Arabidopsis thaliana: one gene and its partner. The protein of the gene in region 2 purifies or fractionates together with the protein of the main gene of each other region. This does not show direct contact. Each region holds a gene or a part of one and is shown on either strand. Other genes may lie near its edges.

Region 1 (3,754 bases), on a different chromosome or scaffold from region 2:
CAATGAGCAACCACAATGACCAGGTTTGGTCTGTGGCCTTTAGACCACCAGGTGGAACCGGTGTCCGGGCTGGTCGACTTGCTAGTGTCTCTGATGACAAGAGTGTATCGCTCTATGATTACTCATGAACAATTCGGTTTTTTGACTTTTTTCTTTTATGCATTCTCCAAGACGCATCTAGTTGTAACAATATAATCTGCAACAGGTTGATTTTGACCGGAGTCTTTAGATTTATCGCTTACACAAAAAACAAAGAAGATAAAATGATTCAAACTTTGCGATAGAACTTTATTGGAAAACTGAGAAACAGATAAAGATCACAGAGAGATGAGTTGAAGAGTAACGCAAACAAACGTCTAAAAGTTTTCAAAAAACAAAACAGCTAAAGATTATGGTCTTGTCTCTTATGACGTAAGTGTATTACTTCCTAAGTAACTCTTGAGAACATCCATGACAGCTCCGAAATCTGCTTTCACATCAACAGGAGGATTGGAGAATCTGCAAGCCATGTCAGGGATGGCATTGGAGTGATAATCTATCTTAGACTGAGTAAACTTCAACCCATGAGCAGTACTCACTACCACAGTTCGATCAGTCGGTGCAATCACTCCTTGATTCCTCAGCTTGAACAGAGCAGTTAGAGCAACACCTGTATGAGGACAGATAAACATTCCTGTCGAATCCGCTTGAGCCATCGCATCCATCAGCTCCTCCTCTGTGGCTTCTTCTACAATACCATTGCACTTCTTGAGAGCGTACACAGCTCTATCGATGGAGACAGGGTCACCGATCTGAATCGCAGAGGCGAAAGTGGTACTTGCAGTCATGGGCTTGAAGTCCTTCCAACCAGACTTGTAGTGCAAGTAAAGAGGATTAGCATTAGCTGCTTGTGCACAGACCATCCTCGGGATCCTATCGACAAGTCCCAGTTCTTGACACATCTTAAACCCTTTGTAAAAGGCATAGATGTTTCCTAGGTTACCTCCAGGAACAATCACCCAATCAGGAACTTGCCAATCAAACTGCTGCAAAATCTCAATAGCTGCAGTTTTCTGCCCTTCTAACCTCAAACTATTCAACGAATTCGCCAAATAAATCGGCAATTCCGCAGTTATCTCTCTAATCAGCTTCATACACCCATCAAAATCAGTGTCAATACTCAAAACAAACGCACCATTAGCTATCGGCTGAACCAGCTGAGCCATAGAGATCTTGTTCGCCGGTAAAAACACAATCGATGGGATTCCAGCGGAGGCGCAGTAAGCAGATAGAGCAGCAGAAGTATCTCCGGTGGAAGCACATCCGACACCAACCACAGGTCGTTTCATCTTTCTCAGACGATTAACTTGACTAACCAAAACAGTCATTCCAAGATCCTTGAAACTTCCTGTATGACTAATCCCACAGTGTTTCACCCACAGATCATTCATACCTAGAAACTGCTTACCAAATCTCTCTGCCCAGAACAGATTCGAGTTTCCTTCAAAAGCTGAAACGATGTCGTCGTCATCGATCTCAGGAAGAACCCACTCTTTCTTCGACCAAACACCCGATCCATAAGGCCATGTGCTTTTACCAACACGCGAATCGAAGAGATCACGCCAATACGCGCCATCGAATCGCTTCAAAGCCTCCATATCGTGTTCGACATCAAGCAAACCACCGGAGCGGCTACGGTACACGATCTCGTCGAGAGAGTAAGACTCCGTGGATCCAGGAGCTGCATTAAACGGAACGTATTTAGCTGAAAATGGATTCACGGCGTTGGAACGATTACGACGAGCCTCATCTCGAATGTTATCCTCGGTACGGTGAGGAGGCTTGACCGCTGTCTCGATCGGGGCTTTGATGTTGTTGCCATCGGCGGTACAGGAGATGACGACGGGGCGGTGGCGGAGGAGAGAGGTTGACCGGTGGCGGCGGATGGGGTCTTGTTTAGGGTTTAAGGACGATACAGAGGCATTGAAGAGACAAGACGAAGCCATTTTTTCTAGAGAATGAGAAGTGAGATGCGGCTGAGGATTTTGAGGAGAGGACACGAGTGAGAGAGAGAGAAAACTATATTCAGATACTTAAACCGGAAATGTCTTAGAACCGGCTAGTCGGTTTAAGCTTTTAGGTTAATTGGGATTATGTATGTGACGTAGAGAGATATTTTGGGCCCATTAATCATTCAAATATCTGGATCGCTTTCCGTATATAGCAATTGAATATTTATGTTTTGTCACGTTTTGCTTTAAACAGGCTAATAAAGTGCATGTTATAAGGAACATTCATGTTGATGACAAAAAGATAAAAGGTTACATTTGACCCAAAGAAAACAATAATGTTGAACATAAAAATTCACATAAGAATCACGTTTTAATTTTGATATAACACCAATACACCATCATGATATAGATTGAAACTCTAGTAGTAACAATGTGTAAGTTGGCCAAATTTGTAATCAATTAAATACTGCATCCAGAGGAATTTGATGGAAAATGAACAATTACATCTGAAAGCAACATGTGAACACTCCAAGTATCCCATATTACTTGGTTCGAATTGGAAATCTTTATAGAAACAAATATCAATTTGAACCGGGTGTATATTTATAGATATGTAAGTATAAATCTGACTAAACTGTCACAGACTCGAATTTATTTGACAAGAAGAAGGAGAAAGTAAGAAAGGACTGGACTCAAATTCTATAAAACTACACAAAAGAGAAAACAAGTCAATCATTGCTATAGAGTAATAAAACATCTCTATACATTTTGAGTAGGAGAGATTCAAAAGGGGACACCTAAACGGGCGGTATGTTTGAGAAGGAGAAACCTTTGTATCCTTTGTAAGCATAATACGCAATCCGTGTATAGTAAAACCCGGGAATGAACAGAAGACACCCGAGGACGATGAAGAAAATCCCTGGTTTCACCATCAAAAATATCAAACAGAGAATGATAGGTCATTGATGCAATGATGAGAAAGAAGTAGTTCCGGCAAAACGGAAGAAAACAGCAAATCAAATGAAATCAAGTTTAAGTACAATGCTGATACTTGCTTTCGCTTTGCAGTATTGCATTGGGGATGTATGAAATGCATTAATGAATTACAAGCCCAGAGGAAGAAGAGCAAACTAGCTAATTTGAAGTGAATCTCATGTCTATGTTACAAGCAGAATTGGGATATATCAATAACAGTATGTGATGATAGTGATCTAAAAAGTTAATGGAATCCAACGGAGATCCTTCCCTTTTTTATCTCACAGATAAGAGAAGCTTAGAATCATCATATACTAGTTTCTATCGGAAGTTTACTAATCATTCTAACAATGAAATCAAATCGTATGCCTTTGGAAAACTTGTGTCTATTCATCCAAATCTCCAGAAAACAGAGAGCAAAAGGCCAAGCTGAAACGAAATTACACTCCACCGTAGCTAACCAGAGCACTTGCAATCTATATCTATCAGCTTAATTACCAAAATTATAACATAACTTCACCAAATCTAAAAAAATTCCTAAAACAATCTAGCTGAAATCAATTACTGTTTTCTAAATCTCTCAAACTAGCAAAGATAAGTCCCACATATTCTCTCATGAATTCCCAATTTCTACTCCAAGACTGGATCAATAAATGTGGAATAAGTAAGAAAGGTGAAGAAATCGCTACCGTGGCCTCGATCACCGCCAACTCGATTATAAGCCATGAAGAAACCGGAGACAATTCCTAGGGTTCCGAACACGAGTAAAGCCACCGCGAGTGCGATCT
Region 2 (3,754 bases):
GATCATCGAGGAGAGTGTAAGTATTGCTTGTTAGTTTATTCTCTCACATTGAGTATCATTGAACCAATTTACTTTCCTGTTCTCATATTTTCTGTAAATTAAAAGAAGTTGTTTCTTTCTTATGACTCTTTCTCTCTTATTTGTAGTGTACAAAAAGCATCATCCTCCTTCTCTTTTCGATGAAGTATGGAGATTGGAAAAGATAGGGAAAGATGGAGCATTTCACAGACGACTGAATTTGTCAAATATAAACACTGTCAAGGATTTCTTAACACATTTCCATTTAAACTCTTCAAAACTCCGACAAGTAAGATTCGTCTTCCTTACTCTGTGCCTATGTGACTAAGGCTTCTGTGGTGGGCGTGAATCTTTTGTGTCACCAGTAATAATGGTTTGTGATTGATTCTCACCTGGTGAGAAATACACAGTTTTAACTTGTCTACATGTAATGATGATTGATGTTCCTTGCAGGTTCTTGGTACGGGTATGTCTTCAAAGATGTGGGAAATTACTTTGGACCATGCTCGATCATGTGTTCTAGATAGTAGCGTCCATGTGTACCAAGCTCCTGGATTTCAGAAGAAAACAGCTGTTGTCTTCAACGTCGTAGCTCAAGTGCTTGGACTGCTCGTGGATTTTCAGTATATTCCTGCTGAAAAGTTATCAGAGATTGAAAAGGCACTGATCCTCTCTGTCTACATATTTGACTTGGTTTCTCTTCTACATACTCTCAGGTTTACATAAATTTTCTGATTTCAGGCTCAAGCGGAGGTGATGGTAATTGATGCATTGAGTCACCTAAATGAAGTAATCTCGTATGATGATGAGGTTTCCATGATGAGGAACGTTCTCAATGCCCCGGCTTCTCAAGGCAGTGTTGCCGGGATTGATTATTCGGGTCTGAGTTTGACCAGTTTGGACGGATACGGTTTTGTGTCAAGTCTTCACAACACAGCAGAATGTAGTGGCAAGCACAGTGATGATGTTGACATGGAAGTTACTCCACATGGTTTATATGAAGACTACGACAATCTCTGGAACTGCTCTCACATTCTAGGCTTAGAAGAACCGCAATCTGAGTTGCAGAGTGCGCTTGACGATTTCATGTCACAGAAGAATGCTTCGGTCGGTGGTAAGGCTCACAGCAAAAGATGGACAAAGCTTTTCAGTGTCTCGAGATGGCTCTCTGTTTTCAAGTATGTCAAGTTAGGAAAAATATAAAATGAGTTTAGTACACAAAAGAACAAAACGACTCGCTGCGCCGCGCCCTGGACAGATTCGTGTATATATATACTCGGGGAAAGCTTGGGTTTCTGATGATCCAGAGGCGTTCAAAAGTGTTTTCTTTCTTCTTCTTCTTCTGGTTGTCTCCATCTTTGTGTTAAAGATGTGAATATATGTTTTAGGACAGCTTCATTTTTGTTGAAAGCTTAAAAAACAGGGTCTTTTATAATCTCTGTGATTAGTACCAAATTGCAGATTTGCAGAACTACGTTTTTCTTGGTTTGTCAGGTAATGTGAAACTGAATAAAATGAATATTATTTGAATCAACTGAGATTTTACATTATCTTCTAGAGTTTTGTGTTTGAGATTCAAAGAACACTAGACTGAGTATGAAGATTTTGGGTGAGTAAAAACAATCAGGGTGATAATTTATCATACAATAGTTTTGGGGTCAAAATGGAATAATTCTAGAGTATAGAGCCCATGTTGAAAAGCTCGAAAATTCTTTCCAATTCCAGAAGAAAAGGTTTTGCTGTTTCCCTGTGAGCGATCTTCGATACTCGTCTGGGCATGGCGTTTTTGCTCAACAACGCTTCAATTTCATCTCATTTACGCTCGTCTTCTTCACAGGTTTGGATCAAATCTTGTTAATCGATTATTGTTGGAATTTTGTTTGATTTTTGTGACAATTTTTTCCCTTACGAAATTTTTGAAGAAGACGGGTGATGCTTTATCAATATCGCGTCGTGGATTCCACATTGAGCCAGGAACTCGAGAGAAAGCTGTAAGTTAATCTCTGTTTCTGTTCGAGTCCTGGATCATTTTGGACTCAGTTTTTGTGGAATTTTCTGCATCTATTGTGATTTGAAGATACTAATTAGGGTTCATGAAAGAATTGGCTTTTATATAGATTCCCTGAGACTCTCATGTGTGTCCCTAGTAATGTTCGTTGTCTGAATCTATTTGAAAGAGTAATTTTTATGAGAGTTTTGAGTTGTTGTTGATGCTTATGCTGTTGTTATATGGCATTTTCTTAAAGCTCTTGATGAGTTTGTGTTTGCTTAAATTGAAATCCTGTGTAGCTCTTGGCTGAAGATTCTGCTTTGAAGAGATTCAAGTCTCATAAGAAAAGTGTGCACAAACTGAAGAGGATTGGTGATGTGCTCACTGTTGTTGTTGTTGCAGGTAAAAACACTTTAGTTCATAACTTTTGGTCGAAGCTAATCAGATTCTTGTTTTGTTAGTGGTCTAGAAACATAATCTGGTATGGTTCAGGAATCATAATGAATCTGAGTAAGAGATTGACTAGGCTAGGCACACTTAGATATTTTCACCTTGCTTCTTGCAATTAAGAAAGCTGTAGATTGAATCTCATAGGTTTCATGTAGAGCTGAGCTTATTATGTCAAATCAAACTAACAACGTTCTTCTCTGTTGTTCTTGGTAATATGAATTATGGATTCACGACATACTCGAAATCTAAATTGTGACTTATCTCGTGTCTTGCTTGTTTTTTTGTCTTAGGATGTTGCTATGAAATCTATGTCAAAGCTGTGATGAAAAAAGAAGCTCTGGCTGCAGGGAAAAGCTCATGAGTGTTCTTGTCTTTGTATGCCTTTTTGTTTTATCCTTTATACAGTGTCTCTTTCTAATAATCTCACAATAATGTTTGTTTACTCAATGAAAATGGCATCTAATAAAGTAGACTAAAAGAAAAAGACATTGTCCAGGGAAACCAAACTCTGGTTTTTTCTGACGTTGTGTGGAATCTCTGCTTTTTCTTCTTTTTAAATATTCCTTAGCTTTTCACTTATTTGTACTTTGCTTAAAGATACACTCTCCATTTATAGATAACTGCAACGATTAATGTCTTATCCATGGATTAGGTGACTGTATTTATGTGAAATTGTGAATGATCAATCACACTTAATGGTTTACACTGGACATGAAATTGTTTCGAAAGGATTAGTAGAGCGAGTGGGCCGGTTCGGTGTAGCCTACCTCTATCTTGGGCCTCTCTCTAGGCCCAATTTGGGTTCAAACCGGTTGAGACGAGGTCTCAAACCGAAATCTAACTTTACACCCTTAATTTTCAACCTAATTGTGACTCAACAAGAACATATCCACCACTGACCACTTGTTTTCCACAAATCATGCAAATTTGATTAATACCTACTGAGTACTGATAAAAACAAGTACAAAGAGCTTTCATGCTCCCTTCTGATAACATTGGTTCACCAAAGATGTAATATAAAAAATGTTGGAATATTAGTTGAACCACCTTGGAGAACGTATAACAAAGAAGCCCAACAAATCAAGTTACTTTTGCTTGATTTGCACACATTCATGTTTGAAAGCTACAATTCATATGTTCTATATTATCTACATTTATACTCATAGTTGATATGTTGTCGAAATTCTATCAATTTATGATATTGATAGGTTTGCAATTTCGTAAAAGAAACTCTCACATCTATTTTGACTAACCCACACGTTTTTAAAAATAATAAAACTATGAGTAATTACACAT

The links. Proteins that work in one complex are often made in the same cells at the same time.
Region 1: the proteins of SDH7 (region 2) and MTO2 purify together in Arabidopsis thaliana (affinity purification with mass spectrometry, with the first as the bait; one large-scale study listed by BioGRID). This does not show direct contact.

Annotation. Positions count from the first base shown.
Region 1 is NC_003075.7:14,599,030-14,602,783, forward strand, and holds MTO2 (Pyridoxal-5'-phosphate-dependent enzyme family protein), read right to left. Parts: upstream 2,027-3,754; 5' UTR 1,986-2,026; coding exon 405-1,985; 3' UTR 187-404; downstream 1-186. Other genes in the region: VIP3 (Transducin/WD40 repeat-like superfamily protein), read left to right, coding at 1-128; AT4G29850 (transmembrane protein (DUF872)), read right to left, coding at 2,789-2,910, 3,656-3,754. UniProt on the Arabidopsis thaliana protein: Catalyzes the gamma-elimination of phosphate from L-phosphohomoserine and the beta-addition of water to produce L-threonine.
Region 2 is NC_003076.8:25,115,747-25,119,500, forward strand, and holds SDH7 (succinate dehydrogenase subunit), read left to right. Parts: upstream 1-1,667; 5' UTR 1,668-1,795; coding exon 1,796-1,855; intron 1,856-1,940; coding exon 1,941-2,009; intron 2,010-2,307; coding exon 2,308-2,410; intron 2,411-2,748; coding exon 2,749-2,819; 3' UTR 2,820-3,146; downstream 3,147-3,754. Other genes in the region: AT5G62570 (Calmodulin binding protein-like protein), read left to right, coding at 1-16, 147-307, 472-678, 760-1,221.